Mus musculus: one gene and its partners. The protein of the gene in region 6 interacts with the protein of the main gene of each other region in a biochemical or structural test. Links are inferred from orthologs where the notes say so. Each region holds a gene or a part of one and is shown on either strand. Other genes may lie near its edges.

The links.
Region 1: the proteins of Eps15 (region 6) and Fcho1 form a complex in vitro, tested with the Homo sapiens proteins (2 studies listed by BioGRID). The link is inferred for Mus musculus from reciprocal best matches to the Homo sapiens genes EPS15 and FCHO1.
Region 2: the proteins of Eps15 (region 6) and Epn1 form a complex in vitro, tested with the Homo sapiens proteins (4 studies listed by BioGRID and IntAct, with this or other methods). The link is inferred for Mus musculus from reciprocal best matches to the Homo sapiens genes EPS15 and EPN1.
Region 3: the proteins of Eps15 (region 6) and Ap1g1 form a complex in vitro, tested with the Homo sapiens proteins (2 studies listed by BioGRID). The link is inferred for Mus musculus from reciprocal best matches to the Homo sapiens genes EPS15 and AP1G1.
Region 4: the proteins of Eps15 (region 6) and Sgip1 form a complex in vitro, tested with the Homo sapiens proteins (2 studies listed by BioGRID, with this or other methods). The link is inferred for Mus musculus from reciprocal best matches to the Homo sapiens genes EPS15 and SGIP1.
Region 5: the proteins of Eps15 (region 6) and Numb form a complex in vitro, tested with the Homo sapiens proteins (2 studies listed by BioGRID and IntAct, with this or other methods). The link is inferred for Mus musculus from reciprocal best matches to the Homo sapiens genes EPS15 and NUMB.

The regions. Positions count from the first base shown.
Region 1 is NC_000074.6:71,722,882-71,727,173, forward strand, and holds the start of Fcho1 (F-BAR domain only protein 1), read right to left. Parts: upstream 2,801-4,292; 5' UTR 2,752-2,800; intron 464-2,751; exon of another isoform or gene 354-463; intron 1-353. UniProt on the Homo sapiens protein: Functions in an early step of clathrin-mediated endocytosis. Has both a membrane binding/bending activity and the ability to recruit proteins essential to the formation of functional clathrin-coated pits.
Region 2 is NC_000073.6:5,078,850-5,083,034, reverse strand, and holds the start of Epn1 (epsin-1), read right to left. Parts: upstream 2,801-4,185; 5' UTR 2,558-2,800; exon of another isoform or gene 2,397-2,557; intron 1,103-2,396; exon of another isoform or gene 1,059-1,102; intron 1,018-1,058; 5' UTR 914-1,017; intron 1-913. Other genes in the region: U2af2 (splicing factor U2AF 65 kDa subunit), read right to left, coding at 3,719-3,853. UniProt on the Homo sapiens protein: Binds to membranes enriched in phosphatidylinositol 4,5-bisphosphate (PtdIns(4,5)P2). Modifies membrane curvature and facilitates the formation of clathrin-coated invaginations. Regulates receptor-mediated endocytosis.
Region 3 is NC_000074.6:109,837,583-109,841,082, forward strand, and holds part of Ap1g1 (AP-1 complex subunit gamma-1), read left to right. Parts: intron 1-160; coding exon 161-216; intron 217-1,336; coding exon 1,337-1,450; intron 1,451-1,729; exon of another isoform or gene 1,730-1,793; intron 1,794-3,005; exon of another isoform or gene 3,006-3,107; intron 3,108-3,500. UniProt on the Homo sapiens protein: Subunit of clathrin-associated adaptor protein complex 1 that plays a role in protein sorting in the late-Golgi/trans-Golgi network (TGN) and/or endosomes.
Region 4 is NC_000070.6:102,758,803-102,762,934, reverse strand, and holds the start of Sgip1 (SH3-containing GRB2-like protein 3-interacting protein 1), read right to left. Parts: upstream 2,801-4,132; 5' UTR 2,380-2,800; coding exon 2,370-2,379; intron 1-2,369.
Region 5 is NC_000078.6:83,839,544-83,843,835, forward strand, and holds the start of Numb (protein numb homolog), read right to left. Parts: upstream 2,801-4,292; coding exon 2,675-2,800; intron 2,381-2,674; exon of another isoform or gene 2,311-2,380; intron 1-2,310. UniProt on the Homo sapiens protein: Regulates clathrin-mediated receptor endocytosis. Plays a role in the process of neurogenesis.
Region 6 is NC_000070.6:109,360,275-109,363,774, reverse strand, and holds part of Eps15 (epidermal growth factor receptor substrate 15), read right to left. Parts: intron 2,613-3,500; coding exon 2,451-2,612; intron 2,106-2,450; coding exon 1,908-2,105; intron 597-1,907; coding exon 396-596; intron 1-395. UniProt on the Homo sapiens protein: Involved in cell growth regulation. May be involved in the regulation of mitogenic signals and control of cell proliferation. Involved in the internalization of ligand-inducible receptors of the receptor tyrosine kinase (RTK) type, in particular EGFR.

The DNA of each region.
Region 1 (4,292 bases), on a different chromosome or scaffold from region 6:
TCTCCCGGAAGCCATCAATGTCCCCAGAGCTCATGTTAGACAGCACCCTGCTTCCCGCCACCCTAACATAAAAGCCACTCTTAGGGGGCATACTTCATGCTGTTCCCTACCCCACCTGGCTAGATACCAGCTATCAGGGCCATGACCACCCATCTGGCTCTACCCAGCAGCCCTTGATGGGCCACAACCTGCACCCAGATCAGGGCCTCCCGCCTGAAGAGTAGGGCCAAGGATAGGCCCAGAGGCTGCCACCTGGCCAGGAAGTGACAGACCGACCGTTGGCCCCAGACCCGGAGCCACGGCTGTGGGATAACTTCCTGCTCTGAGGAGACAAAGATTGGGGTCAAACTCACCGATGGGCACTGAGAGTTGGGGCCCCTGAAGGATGGGGTAGGCACCGGGAGGCTATGACCCCTGACACTTCCGCCAGCACTAACTGGAGGCCTCTGTGTCTGGGGGAGGACAGGAAGCCTGGCCCGCCCTGCCTGCCACCCAACCGTCACCTCCCCGCCCAGCATCCCTGGGACCTCCCCATAGTCACAGGGCAGCCACACAAATGGGGGAGGTGAGGGAGCAGACTGGAGGCGACATGATCATTACCAGAGAGACAGACAGCCACAAGTGTCTACCTTGGCCTGCGCTAGGTCAGTATGCCCATGAGTGGAAACCGAGGCTTGAAGACAGGTGAAGCCTCACCCTCAGAAAGGGAAACTCAAATATTCTTACAATTACTTTAGGATCAACAGATTAAAGTTTGTTTTTAGAAATGGTCTCAAGTAGCTGAGGCTGGCCTCAAAATTCACTATGTAGCAGAGGATGGCCTCACATTTTTGATCCTCCTGTCTCCTCCTCTGGGTGCTAGGGTGATGGTGTGGTGTAAATATTAAGTACTACAAGGCGTCTCTCAGCCCCTTGTTCTTGGGGTTTCGTTTTGTGTTTTTAAACCGTGTGATTTGGAAAGAAGTTAAAACACCAATAGAGGCCTCTGAAAATGTTTTAGCCTAAGACAGTTTACCTAATGTAACCTGGGGCTTTCTGGGCTCTACAATACTAGAATAAGGTCCAGGGACAGACACTGCTCAGAGGCACAGAGCAAGCACCCCATCTCCTGACACCGAGTCCCCAAAACCTGAGGCTTAGGTGGGTGAACAGCACCAGGGAACTGAGCCAGGCAAGACTAGACCAGAGCTGCACTCTGGGGGTTGGATACAGGCTGGCTGTGCCCACAGCCATTGATCCCTAGTGTGACCCTCACTGCCTCCCCTCCCACACCAGCCAGAAATCTACAGGGAAACTGAGGCCACTGTGCAAGCCTTCCACTGAGTCATTTCATTTGTCACACATACTTTGAGCACCACTGTGTACCCAAGTCCTTGGGGTGCTAGTGACACTGGTCACACCCTTCAAAGACATCTCACTGCCTCCTTGGCTGTGACCCCATTTAATGAATGCAATATCATAATTACTATCATAGGAGTGGGTGTTTACGGCGCGCTGTCACTCCCACAACCACCTCTGATCTTCCTACAGACTTTCAGTCCACTTCACAGAAGGCTCAGTTTAAGTCCAGTCTGGGCACACAAATTTGGGGGTGTCAGGCTTCCTGCCTGGGACTCACCCTACTATCCTGCAAGAGGCAGGGACTAAGACCTGACCTTCCACTTGGGACCCCGCCCAGGAACCAGCCTAGGAACCCTATTGTAGGTGATGGTATGTGGGTCAGGGTGTGACCTGGGCAGCCACATGGGTGGGACCACAGTGACAAAGTCTGGGTCTTGATTGGAGGCCCGTCCATCTTATGGTCAGATAGAAACTGTCCTCTGCTGGCCTTAGGTCTCGCTGCTCCGCCCCAGGCTAGACTGTATCCATCAATCAAAATCATGGTTTGTTTTGTTTATGCTTTTTTAATGAGGCAGAGTCTGTGAATGTAGCCCAGGCTGGCCTCAAGCTGCAGATCTTCCAGCCTCAGCCACCAGAGGATTGTAATGACCACACCAGGCTCAACCCCTTTTAAAGTGCCAAAACCAGAGTGCCCTAACATTTGACTAAAGATTGTGGTCCCCATCTGGAGAAAATGGGGCACAGGTGTTGGGAATTTGAGACAGATAGTCTGGCTTCCTCAACCTCTATATTCTGAGGAGGAGACTAAGGATCAGGGAGGTGCTGTCACCTGCCCAAGGTCACCATGAAGCAGGTCCTGCGACGCTGAGGGCAAGTGGAGGGGCGGCCATCCCCGACCTTCTCTGCACCCCATCCTCATTCACCTAGACTAATTCTGTCCCTTGGAGCAGATGCCGGCTGCCCCCCTAACAGGGCGCGGGAGTCCCTGGTGCAGGCTCCAGGCCTCTCCAGGCCCCGTTCCCCCGGGAGGGGATCCCGCGCTCCATACTCCAGATACCCCGCAATTCCACCACACTCGCCCTACAGAACCCCCACCAGCCTACCAACCCTAGAGCGGGTGCAAAGGAAAGGAGGAGACCCTCGTTCCCAGGCGAGGAAGAGGGGCAGCGAGGGAGGCGGCCCCCAGCTTAGGGCCAGGCTAGAGACCCGGAAGAGGGATTGGGGGTCCTGGGGGGGGTCTCAGCCTCCCAGCCCAGGATTGAGAGATGCCATAGAGTGGCGCCCCGCCTTCTGCAGACGGCACCTGCGCTCGGGCCGGGTCAGGATGGAGGCTGCGTCCCCGCCCCGCACCCCGCCCCCGCGTCCTGCACCCCGCACCCCGCACCGGAGCCCCGCGCCGGGGACACTCACCGCCTCTCGCGGCGCTACCTGCGCGCTCCAGACCCGCGCCCCGCCCTCCCCGCGCGCTGCGGAGCGCGCTGCTGGCCCCGCCATGGGTGTGGTCAGGAGGAGCTCCGCCCCGCGGTGCTTCATAAACCCTGCACTGGTTGGCTGAGCCTGGAAATTCATCCGCAGGCTATTTGCATATTTTAAAGTGACAGGAGAAGCTCCTTGATCTCTGCACCTGTCAAGTCTCTCGGGAGACTGGGAGGGAAAGAGGGGATAGCTTTTATTAAGTACCTACTGCATACATGGCTCTTTGGAGAACCCCTCCGAGGCTGTGAATTAGGTGACATTTAATATTGAGCCTCATTTTACAAACAAAGGAATCAAGGAACATGGCTAGGAGTTGCTTTGGAGGTCATATAGCAACTCTGGTCTATCCATTCATGTGACATGCCATTTATTTATTCAGGCTGTGTGCTGGTGATGAAGCCAGGCTGCCCCAGCATTAAGCAAGAGCCACATGTCCACTCCACTCCCATATGACAACTTCGAGAGACTTAACTCCCCGGCCTGGGCTCCGTTTCTTGTTCAGGGTCACATGGCAGCATGATGATCCTCAGGACTACTGAGCCATCTCTCTCCCTGCCCCAGAAGCACCTCCAAGGAAGTGGGACCACTGGCCTGGGCACAACCAGAAAGCTAAGTGCCCTTCATCTCCAGTACATGCCCCTGCAGCCTTGGACCCCAGACACCTCAGTTTGGGCATTTTCCTGTGGTGGGAATCAAATCCAGGTCCATCCCAGACTGAGGCTGCCCCACTTCTTACTTGAACCATCTACTGCAGCTCTGCCCCAAATGATGCCGGGTTCTGATGGCAACCATACATAGCTAAATACTAGCTTCAGGGCCGGTGAGATGGCTCAGTGGGCAAAGATGCTTGTAGCAAAGCCTGGATTTTTTGAGAGAGTCCTGAAAAGTATCCTCTAACCTGTGGCATGTGCACACTACCAATGAATCAATTAATCAATTTATGCATCAATTCAAACAATAAAGATTAAACATTTAGATAGGCCCCACACCCAGCTGACTGGTGACCATCTGCCACAATTGGTAAGATAGCCCGCTCTCCATTCTCCATGCTGTTCACATTTTTCACATGTCCTTTTGTTGGCCCAAGAGCCCTCGAGTCACCTTTGGGTTCTGGGATTTGAGAATGGTAAGAAAAGCATCTCTCTCTCTCTCTCTCTCTCCCTCCCTCCCTCCCTCCCTCCCTTCCTTCCTCCCTCTCTCTCCTCCCCATATGTGTGTGGATGTGTGCATGCATGCCATTGCTGTGTCCAGAGCTGGAGTAGGGTGGGTTCCAGGGGCTGAAGCAAAGCCATCAGAGTCGGATGGAACAGGTTTTGACCTGTGATCACTGTCACCTGTCATTGACTGGTTCTAGGCAGGTGCTGGTCTAGAACTCAAGACTTCCCAGGCCCTTTCAGGGGTGTGCACCCCCATAGCAGCCCTCATTCTCGACATGACTCAGTCGTATCTCCGTGATGAGGACACAGGAAATGGGA
Region 2 (4,185 bases), on a different chromosome or scaffold from region 6:
GAAGCTGGCTGGGAAAAACCATTCAATCAACAGTGCAGGAAGGAAATTGAGAAAGAAAGAAAGAAAGAAAGAAAGAAAGAAAGAAAGAAAGAAAGAAAGAAAGAAAGAAAGAAAGAAAGGAAGGAAGGAAGGAAGGAAGGAAGGAAGGAAGGAAGGAAGGAAGGAAGGAAGAAAGAAAGAAAGAAAGAAAGAGAGAAGCAAACAACCCTGGGACAGGAGTCATGGCAAAAGAGGCCAATGATGGGATTTAAAAAAATGGTAGGGAGACAGAGGAGATAGCCTGAGGCAGTGGGAGACTGGGGAGTGGGGGTGCCCAGGGGACTAGGTGTCCAGAGGGTAGGGAGGGAAGCTCAAGGGAGCAGAGAGATAAGAAATGTAGGAGTCCCCACTAATGGATACCAACTGTGCCACGAGGCACATATCATCTAACAATGAATGTAGACAATGGCCTCATGGAAGTTTAATAACTTGGTCAAGGTCATATCATAAATGCAAAAGCAGACTCAACAATCAAACCCATATTACCTGTATAAACTCATTTTTTTGTGGGTTGGGGGGAGGGGGTGACACAACATCTCTCTACATGGCCTTGACTGTCCTGGAACTTGAAGAGCTAAATCCATGTGTCCCTCCCCTCCCAAGTACGGAGTTAAAGGTGTGTGCCATTAAACTCATGCTTTTAAATTAACCTAAATAAACTAACCTGTGCTGTGACCAGCTGTCAGAAAGCATCAAGGGCAGAAATCAAGCAAATGAGGGGAATATTAACAAGCACTTCCACAACCTTTACATCCTTCTAGGCACCCATTAAGTCCTTTGCGCTATCAACTCAATCCTTACAAATCCATGACTCACAGCCACTTTACACAGGAGGGAACAAGGGCACATTAGCACCTTGCCCAGGGACACACACCTCACAACTGGAGCAGCCTGGGTCCAGAGTAGACTCCGATCACCAGTCTGTGCCTCTCCAACAAGCCATGGAGGGAGATTTACTGAGCCCTACCATGATCCAACCTGAAGGAAGACATAGGAGAATAGGAAAGGCTGCTCTTTACCTTGAATTCAGGCCAGAAAATGGAGCACCTGCAAACAGGCATAACTAGGCAAAGAAAAAAAAAAAAAAAAAGCAGCTGGGTCCCAAGTCAGGCCTGGACAGACACCAGAAGACAAACATATGACAAACATAAGGAGACTGGGGGAGGGGAGAGAAAGGGAGGGAGAAAGGGAGAGAAAGAGGGAGGGGGGGAGAGAGAGAAGAGAAGAGAAGAGAAGAGAAGAGAAGAGAAGAGAAGAGAAGAGAAGAGACACACCAAAACTCGGGCAAAAAGAAAGCAATACAGCGAGGCAGGAGGACAGGGAGGACAGAAAGACAGGGACCCTGAAACAAAACACACACATGACACCCAGGGCTGGGGGGGGGTGGGAAGAGATATAACTTAAAAGAACACAAAATTTGCACTCAAATCCCGGCCACATAAGCAACCAGCAAAACAACCCTGTGACTCAGTTCACCTAACTGTGTAACAAAGGGAGGGGTGCTGCCCGGCAAGCTTGCTGATTAAATAAGACGGGTACATAAAGAACTTGGTTCTGTGCCCCACAGATAGTAGGCGCTCGGTACTCCTGGCTGCTATTATTATCAGAAAAAACATTTCCAAAAGGGTGGCATCTAAAGACGCACTATCCTAACACCAACTACCTACTTCAAGCATGTTCAAAAAAAACATACTAAATCTCACAAATGCTGCTGAAAATGGGGCCATTTTCCACAGTTAATTTAGAATTTCTTATTAAACAGTACAAACAATATAGTGAGTCCCCAAGGGGGACTCAAAAACCTGGTATCAAATACTAAGCGAGACAAAATCTCTAGTAACTAGAGCTACTAATAATCACATGCTTAACTCCAGGCCAGACACTGTAAGGCACTTTACCAGGACCACTCCAATGCGCAGAGACCCTGTGGTGCAGGAATTATGAATGCTTCCGTTTAGAAGACTAGGAAAACTGAAGACCAAGGCAAGCAGCGGGGGCTTTGGAATCCACAGCCAGAGCTCTTGTCAGAACACCAGAGACTCAGAAACCTGGGAAGCACATCCTAAGCAAAAGCAGTGGGTTCCTAGAAAGGAATTTTGGGCCTGGGGACGACAGCAATGACCCGGAGAGAAATAATGCACCAAGAGGGAGACCAGTCTGGGGAAATGAAGACACAGAAACCCAGAAAATACAAGCATTGCATGCATCCTGACAGGAACACGGAGCAATCCAAGACACAAACAGCACTCGGATCTCCAAGCCCTTTTGTACAAACACAGAAACACAGAAGCAGAGCAACACAGACAGCAGGGCCACGCGAGACGGGGACACTGACAATCCCAAAAAAAGACACACACCGGCAGGCAAACCCGACCCGGGCACAGCGGTACAAAAGCAGCCACAAGCCATCAGCGGCTGGAACACCGGCTCCGAGGCTGGCTGGACCCGCGCGCGCCACGGCCCAGGCCGGAACACCGGACTTGCCGCGACGGAGGCCAGCATTGCGCCCCTCGCTCACCTCGGCCCGCTTATACCGGGCTTCCAGGGGTCATGACGGTCAGCCCCCTGCCCCCGCTCGGCCTCGGTGTCGCGGGGCGCGCGCCGAGCTGCGGGAAGCAGAAGTGCGCACGTGCGCACGCACAGACGCACGGAGGGCCGCACAGCGACGGCCCCGCCGCCCCGGCGCCCGGGAGGGGCGCAGAGAGCCGGGCGGGGGAGGGGAGCCGCCGAGCGGACGGGAAGCAACCGAAGGTGGCAGCGGACCGGAAGCGGAAATGAACTCACGTGCCCCGCCCTCTGCACTTCGCCCGGCAGCCTCCACTTCCGCGACCAAACCCACCCCGGCACCATTTCCGGCGCACGGGACTGCGCGTCCTTATGCCCTTGCGTCACTTCCGCATCTACGCAGCAGTGGAGACGCGTAAAGGTCCAAGCCTTGAAGCCTCCACTGTGGCTACCCTCGCGGGACCCTCAGGCCTGCCTCCTTCCCTGGGTGCCACCCTCCACACCCTCGGCCGAAAGAGACGGGCGGACACACTGGACACAGATGAGGATCCATAAAGTAAAATACAACAAAATGTTTAATGAGCAAATTCGTATTAGCAAATATGAAACTGCCACAGAGAGGGGGAGCGGGACAGAGACCACGGGTTGAGTCAGGAAGACTAAGGAGAAGAACCAACTACTTAAGAAACCAGGGTGGAGAACAGGAAGGACCAGAAGCCAAAGGACGGGAGCTGTGGTCCTGCAAAGGGAGAGGGCAGGGCACTGAGGGCCAGACAACAAAATTCAAAATAGTTTGGCCATAAAATATAAACACGCTATGTTCCTACCATGGGGGAAGAGAGGAGGAAAGGGGTGTAAGGGATAAGAGGCTGTTTGGGAAGGGGCTGTGGAGGTCCTACCCGCCCTGCTGTGCACACAGTCCCCATCCCAGCCCGTTCCCTCTGTGTCTGTGTGGGTGCATGTGTCTGTGTGGGCCTGTGTGCACTTGCCCAGTCCCCTTCCTGCCCTAGCCCCCCACCCCCCACCCCCCTTAATTGCTGCCATTCCAGTTGCTGCCGGCTGTCATTCGGCTGTCACTCCTCTGCCCATCTTCTTCAAGAGGGGGGAAAGGAGGAGGGGACAGGTGGGGGGAAAGTCCCCAGCCAGCCCTGCCCCCACCCTCCCCCAGCCACCTCTACCAGAAGTCCCGACGGTGGTAAGAATCAGGGTCACAGTATTTTGTGACCACCACTCTGTTGGCGAACTTGCGACCGGTTAGACCCTGCATGGCTTTCTGGCAGTCAAACACAGAGGTGAACTCCACGAAGATCTGTAGGAACAAGAGGCATATCTGTGAACAAGGTTGGCTCCTAGCATCTACTCAGCATTCATTTAAAGTACAGAATCAGCACAGGAAATGAGAGAACACCTCACCACACTGCACAGAGGACTTCAGTTCAGTATGAGGGTGTTTACCCAAACGTTCTCCAGTACCCAAGAACAAGGCACAGAAGCGAGACATCACAGAAATGAAGAAAACCAGGCAGGCCTGAGTCACTTAAGTACACGGGGCAGTGGCCAGAGGCAAGACCCCAGAGGAGAGAAGGGGTCACTTCTGCATCATGCACCCTACAGTGTTCCCCAAGCCACAACTGTCATGTT
Region 3 (3,500 bases), on a different chromosome or scaffold from region 6:
TCTCCTTTTGCTAACAATTTATAGATAACCAGCTGCCATCTTTAGGGAGCTTCTACCCAGAGGCCAGAAATTTATTCTTTAGATTAAGAAAACAATATAAATATATCATTTTTATAGATTAAAAAAAAAACAAAAACAAATGTATGCTATTTCTCTTTAGGTTCTAGCCATAAATATTCTTGGTCGATTCTTATTGAACAATGACAAAAATATTAGGTAAGTCAACTGAAAATTTTTTCATATATTTTATATTATAAAAATTAGTATTTTACAGAGTGGCTTTGCTCAAGATTTTATATATATATATATATATATATATATATATATGTATATTATGTATTGTGTGATCTAGAATTTGAAGTAAGAAATTTTAGTTTTAGTTTAGTCTTAAAATTGCTGTTTTGTAAATAATTTGAGGATTTTCTTTGTGGCTTAATGTTTAATTTATAAGTTAAGGGCAAACATCATATAAAGGGCCAAATGGTAAACATTTTAGGCTTTCTGAACCACAGGGTCTTTGTAGCAGTTACTTAATTACATTGCTTTGGTGGAGGTGGTAGTGGTGACAGTTTTGAAACAGGATTTTTCCATGTAGTCCTGGTTGTTCTGGAACTCAATTTGCAGACTAGGCTGGCCTTGAACTTAGAGATCCACCTGCCTCTGCCTCCTAAGTGTTGGTATTAAAGGCAGGCACCACCATGCCCAGCTTTAAATTCAAGTTCTTATAAATAGATAGGAGCAGTTTTTGGTATTGGTATTAAAAAAGAGCAGAAAACATTTAAATGATGAAATTAAAGTAATTTCCTTTTGTACATTGTGGGTAAGGCAGTGTGAAAAAGCATATATACTGTATTTTTTTCTTGGGAAGATTTAGTCAGTTACTGTTAGAAGTTTGAATAGGGCCTGGGGTGGGGGTGGTGGGTGGCGGTGGCGCACGCCTTTAATCCCAGCTCTTGGGAGGCAGAGGCAGGCGGATTTCTGAGTTCGAGGCCAGCCTGGTCTACAGAGTGAGTTCCAGGACAGCCAGGGCTATACAGAGAAACCCTGTCTCGAAAAACCAAAAACAAAAGCAAAACCCCCAAAACAAGAAGTTTGAATGGATGCTGTGAAAGCAAGGCTAGTTCCAAAGACTCCCCACTTGTCCCAACTGTCGTTTCTGCTCCTGTTGCCATAATGATGCTACTTCCTAGTCACTAGCTCTGTGCTCACCTTGACATACTTTCAGATGTGTGCATCTCCTCATCTGTTGGACAGCTTTGTTATTATTCAGACAGAGGGAAAACTTCCTTGAGTTTTACATTTTAGCTTATTTATTATGAAACATTGTTCTGTGCAGATATGTTGCTCTGACATCTCTGTTGAAGACTGTGCAGACAGATCATAACGCTGTACAGAGGCATAGAAGCACAATTGTGGACTGTCTGAAAGATCTGGATGTCTCCATAAAAAGGTAAGAAAGAGAGTCTCTCTCCAGCCTGGTAAGTGGAACAGATTTTTGATAAGGCTGTGTCTGTCCTCTACCAATTTGATAGTTTGTTGAAATTTTGAGAGCCAAGCTTTTAGGTATTTAGTCCCTGTGTTCAGAAAGGAGTTCCAGTTATAGAGACCCGTGGGAAATACTGAATTGTGCACTGAGAGTGCTCTTGGTTCTTAGGTAAAATAATTGGCGCAGTGTACTGGGCCAGTGTTTCCTTAGCAGAGGTGCTGTGTTACGTGTGCTGGAGGATGAAGTAAGGAGTGATCCATCGGCTAAGTGTTTTCCCACTGTGCTGACACTCACATTGCTGACAGTGCACGTTTTCACAGCACCTCATGATCCCAGAGGCAAGTGTGAGAAAATCTCCATGGAGACATGACTGTAGGCAGTTGTCACTCTCAAATGTCATAAATCTCTCTGTTGAGTGGAATCTGGCAGTTCTTCTCATAGAAGTGTGGAATTTATAGTTTGCTTTAGTGAACGTTTACTGTGTTCAAATTCAAGACAAAGGAGATTTAAAGTGATCTTTGAAGTCATTTAGTCAACAAACATTTATGTACACAGAACAAATGCTAAGTGCTTGAACAATCTACAGATAAGACCTAGAATTAGTAATACCAGCTTTTTTTGTTTTGGTTTTGTTTTTGTATTTTGAGACACAGTTTCTCTGTGTATTAGCCCTGGCTGTCCTGTAACTCTCTTTTTGTAGGCCAGACTGACCTTAAACTCAGAGATTCGCCTGGCTTTGCCTCCCAATTACTAGGATTAAAGGTGTGCACTACCATGACTGCTTTAGTAATACCAGCTCTTATGATATTCCCCTCTGGATTACCCCTCTACCACCCCCTCTCCTATGCCCCCTTTGCCTCTATGAGGGCGCTCCTCCACCCATTCACCCACTCCCACCTCACCCCTCAGCACCCCCTGTGCTGGGGCCTCATGCCTCCCTCCCTTCTCATTGATGTCAGATAAGGCTATCATCTGCTACATATGTATCTGGAGTCCTGGCTCCCTCCATGTATAATCTTTGGTTGGTGGTTTAGTCCCTGTGAACTCTGAGTGGTCCAGTTAGTTGATATTAATACTAGCTTTTTTTTTTAATTACGTATTTTCCTCAATTACATTTCCAATGCTATCCCAAAAGTCCTCCCCCCCCCCCCAACTCCCCTACCCACCCATTCCCATATTTTGGCCCTGGCGTTCCCCTGTACTGGGGCATATAAAGTTTGCCTGTCCAATGGGCATCTCTTTGCAGTGATGGCCGACTAGGCCATCTTTTGATACATATGCAGCTAGAGTCAAGAGCTCCGGGGTACTGGTTAGTTCATAATGTGGCACCTACAGGGTTGCAGATCTCTTTAGCTCCTTGGATACGTTCTCTAGCTCCTCCATTGGGGGCCCTGTGGTCCATCTAATAGTTGACTGTGAGCATCCACTTCTGTGTTTGCTAGGCCCTGGCCTAGTCTCACAAGAGACAGCTATATCAGGGTCCTTTCAGCAAACACTTGCTAGTGTATGCAATGGTGTCAAAAATATGGAACGCTTCACGAATTTGTGTGTCATCCCTACGCAGGGGCCATGCTAATCTTCTCTGTATCGTTCCAATTTTTAGTATATGTGCTGCGAGCACTAATACTACTAGCTTTTAAAAGAGCTTTGGAAAAGGGTTTTATGGCACCTTCCTTCTTAGTTAGTTCTCACAGTAAGTCATTAAGAAGCAAGTAAGTTCTGTGCCTGATTAATAGACTCATTAAATTATAGTCATCAAATGATCAGGTGACTATAACCCTTGAAACTTTGACCCTTAAACTTTAACCCTTGAAAAGGGCAATTCTAGAAATAGAAGTCAGACCTTCTTTCTCTTATTTTCGTTGGGCTAGGGTATTTGACAGAAGATGCAACAATAAGAGCTGATCCTCAAGCCAGAGCTGTTTCTCATTGTGACTCCACACCTAACATTTTCCCTACCTTTTCATTACACTGTTGCCTCTGATGTAAAATGTAGGTAGAGGGCCACCCAGTT
Region 4 (4,132 bases), about 6.6 Mb from region 6:
ACTGTGTTTATGTGCATGACTGCACATGCATGTGTGACCATGTGTATGTGTCACATAGGCTCTGGCTGAGAACAGACTATGCAGATGCTTGGCAGTGTAATCTCACAAGACACACATGGCATTTCACCTGAGACCTGCTAGGACAGCATTTCTGGCACCTTGGGTGAGTTCTCATCTTTCCAAGGTTATTGTGGCATGTGCAATACCCTGGTATTCTCTGGGGGTGGTTCAATGGACATAACTGCTGTAACACATCTTCGGAGTAAGACAAATTTAGAGCAGGAATTCTGGGATGCAGTATCAGAAATAGACATAGGCGTTGTGAAAAAGACTGGCAATTTAGTTGGAAAGCCACTGACTGGGAAATAGATTTCTGATTAAGGGTCCTACCTGTTTTTCCAAGGTCACTGAACAATTAATAGGAGACCTTTTAAATAGGAATTACAAATAGAAAATGTTTATTCGTTTCACGTGGAATTCGAAAGCAGGGGGCACACCTGTCTAATTTCTCCTGTGGAGATTCATTAGAGGCCGCAGAACCCATCCTGTCATCTCTGATCCCACCAGTGAGAAGATAACATCCTCCATTAGATAAATTGGGCAAGCTAACCACAGTGCTACTTCATCTCAACACCAGTCTTTGTTAGAGTTCCCGTTTCAGTTTCTGCAGCTCAGATAAGCTTATCTTAGGCCTTCAAGCTGATGTTCCGGATGGCACAACAGACCTGATTACCAGGAGAACCACTAGTGATCATCAGGAAATGCTACCAACCTCCAAAGAACTCATGGGATAGTTTCAAGCCCAGAAGTGAAAGAAACGGTCCTCAAATTTCCCATGGAAGATTAGAACTGAATCAGAATGTATGCAGATGCATTTCAACACGTCCTTTGTCAAATTTAGCTATAAAAATAGTACCCTTCTATAGACAAGTTATCTTTTTTTTTTTCCTGATGAGGATAAGTCTTGTGGGCTTTGAATTAAAAAGTATGTAAGTTACACTTTTTCTGTTTATCTTGCCTTGCTAGTCAAAGATTACATTCATTTGGAATTAACTAAAATTGATTTAACCATAGAATCTTAACAATCTCACTTAGCTCTCTGAACACAAGACCAGGCTCTAAACGGAATGATGCGCTGCCTCCATTTAAGGCTATTTCCCTGAATCTATGAGCTTCTACCCCAGAATTCTTCTCTCCCTGGAGTCACACTAATGACATTTGACATGATGACGGGGGGGGGGGGGTGGGAAGGGGGAAAGGAGGGTGGCGGAGAGACAAGGGGAGCTTCACTGGTTTTGTTGAAACCATCTCCCTTTTATTCCAGTTTGGTAAATTGCTAAGGTCCATTGACCATTGGCAACTGGTAGGACAGACCTTGGCTTTAGGTGGCCCCTCTGACATTTCTGTGGCTGATCTGAGACCCATTATGCACTAGGTTCTGCATTATAAAATCTAGCCTGGGTCCAAAATTTCTGCCTGTCATCTTAGGAAAGGCCAGGAGTTTTACCCCATCCTGCAATGTGAAAACAGATAATCAAAGGCAACATAGAGCTGTCTGCTTCTTCTCTGACCAATTTGTTGCTTTTTCTGAGGTGATGTTGGCTGTCACTATCTTAGACTGGAAAGGGCAAGCTGGTAGAATAAAATGTAGTTTAAATAGCATCTCCCAGGGGAAGGTCCTCCCTACACTTAGTATTAAATGCAGTAAGATAATCAGCAACTAATCACTTGATGCTAAACTAAGAGCCATTTCCTCTACGAACTGGTCTGAACCTGATGAAGGAGCAAAGAGGCCCAGGTCTTTTTCTTAGATCGTTCATTCTGCTGCAATGACAGCCCTCATAAAACTCCAGTTTATGAACCAAATTTGTTGCACCCCTCACTCCAATACTATAATGCAAACCTCAAAGATCAGAATATCTTATAAGATATGTAAGCAGTTCACTGAAAATGCCAGCATAGATAACTCTCTCGATGACCTCTTCTGTCTAATATCAATTTCGGAAAATACTTTCCATTGCAAAGATTTAACCAGCGTGCTTAACCTTCCACAGAAACCCCTTATCTTCTTCCCCAACTTGTTTGTTCTGAGACCTTATTCTTGGCTGCCTCAGCTCTCTGCAAACACTTAGGCTTTTCTCTTTTCAAAGAGGCTGGGAGCTGTGGAGATTCTGAGCTAGACAGAAACCCTGTGGTTTGATTCCATTAGTCTAAGCCTGGGCCCGGTTGCAAGCAAGCTGCAGTATCTGCTTGCAAAAATCCTGGCAGCCAGGTTCTAGACACAGACACCACGGGCTGCATGCATTCTTCCATACTGGTCTACCCAAATCTTGCCTGGAGCCAGCCAACCACAGCAGAGGGAATCCTACCTTCCATCATGGTGGCAGAATTGCATTCCTTATTTTCCAAGAAGTCAGAAAAAACACAGGAGGATACGCTTCCAGGTCCCAGCTAAGTCCTCACAAAGCTGCCGCTGAGGTCTGCTCTGCTTGCTGCCAAGCCAAAGGAGACAAGTGTTAACCCGAAAGACCGGCCATGGATGCAGCTAGTGCTGCTTCACCTACAGTCTCCCAGGAAGATGCTGTGAGAGAAAGGCAGAGAGGAACAGCAAGCCGGCGAGCTGCACCGCCTGCGCTGCCTCGGCCAATCCCTTCAGCTCTGGACCGCGTCACATGGTAGCCAGCCTGCATCTCCTGACACAATACCCCCGGAGAGCGCACGGAACCCATTTCCCGTCCCCATTGCTCGCTACCCCCACTGCCTCCCGCTCCTCTCCAAACACACAGCCCCTTCCCCACCTGGTGACGCACTTCCCCCGCCCCTCCTCGTGGTCCTTGCAAGCCTATTGCGGCTCTGGGGCGCCCGATGATCTGAACTGCCACCCTGACAGGGGATGCCAGCAAGAAAGAAGCCCAGGAGGCTGATCCCAGGGATTTTTTTTTTTTTTTCGTTTTTCTCTCTTTTACTTATTTTTTTAAGAAAACACTTCTTAGTAATTCCAGATCTTAGCAACACACGTTTACACTCCCATTCCAACCTCACTTTGACCTGAAGGAATTTCAAATGTCAGCGCTTGGCCTCTGTGCACATCTGTCATCTGTGGCTGGCTCGCGCTCTCTTTAGGTCTCTCTGGCCCCCACACCCCCCGCGCCCTGTCTCTCTGTCTAGGTCTCTCTGTCTCTCCTTGTGTGTCTCTTCCTCTCATTCACGAGAGAAAAATCAATTCGCTGACGTCACATCATAAACAACCATCCCCCAAAGGATGATGCAGGAAAAAAAATTCATCCCAGCTGCCTTGAAAGGAAGCAGGAAATTAATTGCGCATGACATGCCCAAGGGCTGGCAACTGTCATTAAAACAAAGAAACAAAAGAACCCACCCGATTCGGGCTCTGGAATCAAACAGGCGATGCTCCAGCTCATTTCTGGGGCGAGAGGCGGGAGAGGGGGATTGAAGGCAAGAGTCTAAGCGTTGGCCGCCTCAGGCGTGCGCGAGTCGCCTCCTCCCACGCACTCCGCTCCGCAGCCGCGACCCCGGGGCTGCGGGGGCCCTCCGTCACCGCGTCCTCCAGCCGAGCTGGGCAGACGCCTGCCCCAGGTGGGGAGCCTCGCTTGCAGCCTCGGCTACAGCTGCCAACTGAAGCCGCTGCTACATGGCAGGTTTTGCAAGACGCTCCTCCTGCAGTCTTCAGTCGCCTAGGAGCCCAGTCGTTCACCCCAAGGGAAATCCAGAGAGGAAGGCAATCGGTCCAGGTTGCGCTGGAGGAATGGGCGGAGCCTGGGCCTTGGCAACTTGCTAGAATGGGGAAAGGTTCAGGCACAAGGTCTGGTGGAGCTGAGGGTCTGTCACCTGAGTGCTATCAAAAGTCCTAGGAGTCCTTCAAAGGGAGGGACTCCCAGGCCTGGTGTCCTGTGATCCTGGGTTTAACCAGGCTAAAACAAAGCAAAAAGAAATAAATTGAATCGAGTAAGGAAGGCCTATCACTGTAGGGAGCAGATGATGAAAAGGCTAGAGAAAGGTCTTTAAACTAAGGAAGAATAGCAAAGCCGGGGCTATGAAAATCTCTTTATTGAAGATCAGGTCAGAAACTAACAATAGGGCTGATCATTTATAACACCCTCACTTAGTATTA
Region 5 (4,292 bases), on a different chromosome or scaffold from region 6:
AAAGTCAAAATCCTTAAGATGGAATTGGGCTTGCTAGTAGAGGTTATCCTGATCTATGTAGCAAGACTCTGTATCTCCCAACTTCCACCCCCAAAATGTTCTAGGCAAATAATTTTTCAGTGTTTAAGGACGGTAATGAGATCATTTGTAGGAACAATACTTCTAGCTAGTAGGCAAGGGCCCAAGAATGAATATATGACACATCTAATATTGGGCACTTGTAATATAGAAAAAGCTTACTCAGAGTATCTTTTACTGACTCTAATTCTATTTTAAATATGCACACATGCAGTGACTTTCACACAAATATAACTAAGTCAATCAAGAGAAGACTGTTAAAAAAAAAAAGATTAAAAAAAAGGGGGGAGGGGCTGGAGAGATGGCTCAGCGGTTAAGAGCACTAACTGCTCTTCCAGAGGTCCTGAGTTCAAATCCCAGCAACAGTGTACTCATATAAATATAATAAATAAATCTAAAAAAAAAGAGAGAAGACTGTACATGCTAGATACAAATTTTAGCAAAATTTACTTCTTCATATACATAATTGAATATAAATAGTAATTTAGAATTTATAAAGAGTATTGTATCAAAAAATGCAGCTAGTAGGTGTGATATTATTTGAAAGTACTGAACTACTGAATCTACCTTCTACCTACCTGCTTTCATGGCTCCCTGCTCCTCTGGTTCTATACAAGGTGGTTTTCTCTGTGCCCCTTACTATGCCAGGTGCCTCTTGCTGAAGAGCCACTCCACTGTTGCTCCCTTGGCTACATTCTGTTTCCTTCAATACCTGAAATGCTTATTTTCTGAATTTCTTTGGGTGTTTTCTGAAATGACATTTTGCCCCCTAATGAGGACTTCCATAACCAAAATATTTTAAACCGTATCAACCCCATTTATTTCTTTCATCCACAATTCCTTTCTGGTATAGCAGATATTGTTTTCTCACACTCTCGCATACACTACCATGAACAACACTAGGTAGAGATCCTGTCTGTGCTGCTCACTGCACTCCTGGTTCCTAGAACAATACTTGGTAGACAGCAGACATTCAGCAATTATCTGTCAAACATATCAATGAATCAATAATATCAAAGAGAAGAAACTGTAGGATATTCCTTAGATTGGCATTAAATTTAATGCCTAATTAATAATGAAAACTTTTAGAACAAGCTCAATATATAGGAGATATAATTACTATTTATAGAAGAGAATGTAAACATTAGTGAAGAAAACATATGTGAAGAAAATGAAATAAAACGTGAAACATGTAAAGAAAATGAAGTAAAAATATCTGATATAAATTTGAAAATAAGTGAAAGTATTTCTTTTTTTTATGATGGAACATCAAGATAATCATCTAGCATTGATGGAACAAGAAATTATAAGTACAGAAGACAAGAGCAGAACTAATGGTGGGAAGAGTTTAAAAGTGAAGACAAGAAGAAGCAAACAGGGCTGGAGAGCTGGCTCAGCAGTTAAGAGCACTGACTGTTCTTCCGAAGGTCCTGAGTTCAAATCTCAGCAACCACATGGTGGCTCACAACCATCTGTAATGACATCTGACCCCCTCTACTAGTGTGTCTGAAGACAGCTACAGTGTGCTTACATATAAATAATAAATATTCAGAAAAAAATAGAAGAAGCAGCAAACAAGCCAGTTAGCCCTGAATGGGAGTGGGGAGGAGAGGCGCTTCTTTTGACTTTTCTTTTGTTGGAGAGTGCTGGAAATAAACCCCTACCTCACTGAAAATGATTTAATTCTTGGTAACTGAGGATCTGTAGACGTCTCAGGACTTATGTTCTCATTAGAAGTGTTCTTACTTGGCCAGACCTGAGAGTGGAGGCTTCTGGGAAACCTCACTTACTCAGGAGCTGAGGAAGGACGATCACAAGTTCAAAGCCTACCTAAGGGCTACAGAGTAAGTTCAAGGACAGCCTAGATAACTTAGTGAGATCCCTTCTCAAGGAAGTAAAAAGAAGGCAGGGATGTAGCCCAGTGGTAGTGGGCTTGCCAAGCACACTCAAGGCCCATAGTGAGCTCCTAGGAGTCCCACCAACCCACACACAAACTGTTCTCACTTATACTTGTTCCAGATTATGTAGCACACAGCCTTATTTAAATAACTTAAACACAAAAAGAAAAATCACTAACTGCACAATGTATTTTTTTCTTATTTAATTCCATCACTGAAGCAGAATACGATTTTGGAAGGCTCCTTCACTAGCGTGAGTCATAGGATTACATATTCTATGGGCTATCAGTTTTTTGTTTGGTTTGCTTTTATGTTTTTGTTTATTTCCCCACAGAGAACCACAAAGATATGTGTTATAGTCTCCCCTCCCCCAGCCTGAAACCTGCTTGCTCAGGGGTGGAGCTTCCCGCTCAATCTTTCTGCCACGCCTACTGCTGGAACCTGCCGCTTTGCTGTTCTGAAGGCATCACGTGATCACCCTGCTACTGGATTATTTGGCGGGAATTGGGCCCCTCCCCCTTCCTTTATAACTGAGTGCCGAAATAGTAAAAATTGAACCTTGAGCAGAGAGCTTTGTCTGGGTTCCTTCCTTATCTCCCGAAGCCCAGCCCCTCTTCTCTTCCAGGTTTCCAAAATGCCTTTCCAGGCTAGAACCCAGGTTGTGATCTACTGGCCAGACACAACAATGTGTGTTTTACCTTAACTGGGAAGCTACACTTTCCAGTGCGGACTCCTTCTTCATCTGTCTGCCACTGATGTGGACGGCTGGCCTCTGGGACATAAACGTCTTTCTTTCTCCTGAAGCTTTGCCGTAGTTTGTTCATGTTAACTTTTACAACCTGAAGACACAGTGAAGAAATACCAAAGTTACTTCTTACACAAACTTCAGATGACCATTTTAGTACAAAACCCACCCCAAACCCTGAGGGCCCACACGAGGGTTATAGCTTAGTATGTTAGCATACTTCCTCTCGGAGTGACAGTGAGTCTAAAACTGCTCTCAGTCCGCTTTTTAAAGACAACTACAGTCCCCTCCAATGACAACTGCCCCAACAAGGGCGGCGTTTAACTTCTCACCTGCTTGATACCTCTCAAATGCCGGGATTACAGCCATGCCCTACTGTGCCTCAGTTTGGTGCTAAGGACTGAACTAATATTTTGTGCCTGCCAGGCACACATTTTGCCAACTGAGTTAGTTACATGCCCAACTCCCCATTCTTTCTTCCTGTGGCCTTATCTACCAATGTTACCTCTTTAATATCTAATTCACTCCATGCCCTTTGTCCCATGATTCATTCATTCTCAGACTCTTCCCCACCCCCTTCATTTGTAGCTATCTTTATTACTACTGGTAGACAAAAGAAAGATTCAAGTCTTCCTGATTTGATGGATATTAGGTAAGAGCCAGGAGAGCTCATGGTGCTTGGGTGAACAGTCACTCTTTTTCTAGTCTGTAGGGCAAGCGATTAAAACTACAGCCCCGCACATCCCAGGCAGGCAAGCACTCTGTGTCTTGGAGCCTTTCCTGTCACTTTTCTCTCTTCCTCTCTGCTCACTCCTCATGGAACCTGGTGGGGATGGAACCCAAAGGCAAAGCCACCTCCCCCAAATCCCTGATTTTTCTTTGTGGTACCTTTGCTTAATTACTGTCTCAAACTAAAACATGTCTTTGTTTACATTACCTACCTATTCCCAGTGAGGTAAAGTCTGCAAGGACAGGATACTGTCCTGTTCCCTGTTTATGCCTGCCTTCCTGGAACTGATCAGTAGAGGAGTTGCTCACATATACTTACTGAATGAATGCTGTTCAACCAACACTCACGATTAATAAACCATGCATGCCTGAGGTTTGGGTCACAATCTAGCTTATGTAGTAACTGGGGCACCCTGTAAGCTTTACAATGAGACAGACCTGAGTGAATGCTGTGCTGCCAGAGATGGTGATGTGACTGATGCAAGTAAACGGAAAGTTCTAATCCTTAGTTTATATGTCTGTCAGATATGGTAGTAACTGTTAATTCTCAGGGTCACTGTGAGGGTCAGAAATAATGTTACCTAAAGCAGCTAATGTTTCAAAAGGGAACTCTTGTTGCTGGGACTGGCCTTGAACTCTTGATCCTCTTTTCTAAGCCTCTCAGGTAGACAGGCCTGTATGTGGCCAGTGTTCAAATCAACTATTTTGAGACTTTTTTGTTTAACTTATTGCAAAAGGCCATTACTTAGACTGCTTCAAATAAAGGCCCATTTCATTCTAATCTGGTCTGACTACTGTTTTCTAAAACATCAATCTGACTGTACAACTACTCTACTTTAAAA
Region 6 (3,500 bases):
CTATTATATACAATGCTGATAAAACACTGCTCTGGGGCTGGAGAGAGCCTATTTGATAAAGAGCCTGCTGCTCAAGTGTGGACTGAGTTCAGATCCCCAGCATCCATGCAAAAAGCCAAAAGTGGTGGTGTGTGCTTGTAAACCCAGAGCAGGGGTGATGTAGACAGACAGACACCTGGGGCTTCCGGCCAGTCACCCTAGTCTAATTGGTAAGCTCTAGATCTCCGAGGCCCTATTTTTTTAAAAACAAGTGAACAGCATCTAAGGAGTGACACTTTGAGGACGCCCCCTGGTCTCTGCACATAAGTCTGTACACACTAACTTTGATCTTCATCAATCTGTGGGGGGAGTCGAGGGGGAAACTTAATAATAAACACTATGAAACAAAAACTCACTGAGGACTCCTGGTGTGTGGGTTCAGACTCTAGGTTGTTTTGGCCTTCAGCATGTTCGTTGAAGTTGGCTGTTTCACTGCTGCTGGTGCTGAGGCTACAGTAATCTGTAGCACCATTAACAAGAACGCTTTGTGGGCTACTGCTCCAATTTGATTGGTTATTATCAGTTTCCAGATCTTTCATTTCCAATCTCATTTGCATCTGCCAATACAAAGTAGAAATACAAAACAATTTAATCCTAGAAATAAATATATCACAAATATCTATGCCCCTAGACTAACTCAGGGATGAGTTTGCTTCCTATTAGCAGATTCCTCTAGGAATGAAGCATGACTTAAAGGCTTCAATAATCTCTCCCAGTGAGTCCTCCTGCAATGTCAGCATGCATGCATTTGTTTTTGTAAGCCTTATGAAATTTCTGTCAGGTCTCTGAGAACTACTTCTTCTAAAAAAATAAGTCACACAAAGTCCAATAAACAAAGGATAAAGCTGTTTTGACCTAAACTAGTCAAATGAATTCAACCGTAAGACACAAATGGAAGAATCAATATATAATAATAAACAGATACAAGAAAACTAAATGATTTCACTAAGAAAAATTGATCTAAAAATTGGAATCCCAAAAAAACCCAGTAAGTTGTTCAGTGTCTTAGAGTTATTACTGCTGTGATGAAACCTCATGACCAAAGCAACTTGGGGAGGAGAAGGATCATTTGGCTTACACTTCCACAGCATTGTTCATCATTAATGGAATTCAGGACAGGAACTCAAACAGGGCAGGAACCTGGAGGCAGGAACTGATGCAGAGGCCATGGAGGAGTGCTGCTTACTGGGTGGCTCCTCATGGCTTGCTCAGCCTGCTTTTTTTTTTTTTACAACCCAGGACCATCAGCCCAGGGATGGCACAAGCCACAATAGGCTGAGCCCTCCCCATCAATCACTAATTAAGAAAATGTCTTTCAAGCTGGACATAGTGATATGCCTTTAATCTCAGCACTTGGGAGGCAGGGGAGGGTAGATTTCTGTGAGTTCAAGACCAGCTTGGTCTACAAAGTGAGTTCCAGGATAGCCAAGACTGTTAGAGACAAGACCCTGTCTCAAAAAAGAAAAGAAAAAAATGCCCTGCAGGCTTGTCCCATCTCACAGAAGCATTTTCTCAATTGAAGCTTCTTTTCCCCATGACTCTAACTTTTTTACCTCATGTTTTGCCTCATTTAATCCTTATAATAGCCCTAATAAGTAGGTTTGTTGTTAAATCTTCAACTTTAAAGATAAAAAAGCTGATACTCAAAAGTGATTCGCCTATGAAATGACAGAGCCAGCATTTAAACCTGAACAGCTTTAACTACAAAGCCCCTACTCTAATCTATTATGTAAATGACCATTAGACACCAACTTTAAGTATTAAACAACCAGAGATACTAACTAGGCAGAGGAAGAAGGGGCAGGTGTTAGAAAGTTACAACAAGGACACACAAGGCCCCTCTGGGCATTCTGCTGGTTTCCACTTACTGAGCTGATTTCCTGTTGTGACTCTTGTAGGTGCTGCTGAAGAGGTTCCAGCTGAGCCTTCCCTGACTCCACACTTTCTTCCAATTGTGCTGTTTCTTGTTGTAGGCGACTTAGTTCTTCTCTAGCTTTCAACAGTTCTTCCTCATAACTGGAGATCTGAGATTCTTGACTAGTTATTTCTGCTTTCAGGGAAGAAATCTATAAATGGAGATGAATGGGAGATGGAATTAGACACGAGATGTCTAGTTTAGTGGACTGGAACTTTTGAGGTATTCTTTTGGCAGTGAAAGTTAACAGGGAAGGGGCCAAAAGCAACTCAGAGGCATCTGTGTAACACAGGTAACATCTGTGTAATCAAGAGCTGGAAAAATATCACCCTTCTAATTCCTACTACAGAGAACTATAACTCTTCATAAGCATCCTTCCAACGCCTTCATAAAGCAGCTGCTGGCTACAGTGCCACTAACAAGCAGGCAATGTTTTCTTTCTAAACCAGGAACAAGATGGAGGTAGCAAGTCGGTCAGTAAGCAGCCAGGCTTTACCAGCTGGGCCTCCTCAGCACACTTTTTCCTGACTTCCTGGAGCTGCTCCTCCAGCTGGGCTTTCTGCTCATCCAGTTCACCCAGGAGCTCCTGCACCTGCTGCTTCTGGGCCTGCAGTTTTTGTAGATTAATACTCTCCCTTTGAACTTCATCTTGAAGATCCTGAAACACAAGAAACACATTTATCTCTTTGAGGGCATGGAAAGGTAAGATTTTAAGTCTACTTTAAGGGAAAACAGTCTTGTTTATTAAGTATTTTGTATTGGAGGACTAAAGCACTTGATTTTACATGCAGTCTTCAAGTGACCTCTTCTGGATTTGGATCTCTAGTCTGCTTACTCAGATAGGTCCTTGGATGTCTAACTGACTGCTATGTGTCAAAACAGAGCTCTTATTATTTCCTGAATCTGCTGTAACCTCGGTCTTCTAGTGAAAACCATGGCATCTTCTTCCACTTTTTTCCTTCCACTTCCCTTTCTCTTCTGTGTCAGGTCTGCCAGCAAATCCTTCCCTGCAGTGCTGGTTTCAGTCATCTTCATCTCTCTCAGAGAGTTACCTTTCAAGGGGTTATGCTGCTTCACCTCAGCTACTCTTACATGTATTTTCAGCGCCCTAGCCCCTTTTAAAAAGCCTTTTGCCTTCTGGGACTGAGCAATGCTAGATCCTTGGGCTTCCATTCACAGCTGCTGCTGAGCATTGTTGGGAGTTAGACTACAGACTAAGCTATCAACAAATTCCCTTACTATATGACTACTCATAAGTTCTGTGACTCTAGAGAACCCTGACTAATACAGAAGTTGGTGGCACACACCTTTAATCCCAGCACCTCCAGAGGCTGAGACAGAATAGATCTCTGAGTTTGAGGCTAGCCTAGTGTACTGACTAGTTTTATTGTGTCAACTTGACACATGATAAAGCCATCTGAGAGGCGGGAACCTTAATTAAGAAAACACCTCCATAATATACAGCTATATGGCATCTTATTAATTATTGATTGAGATGGAGGGTGGTACAATCCCAGGACTAGCGGTCTAGGTTCTATAAGAAAGG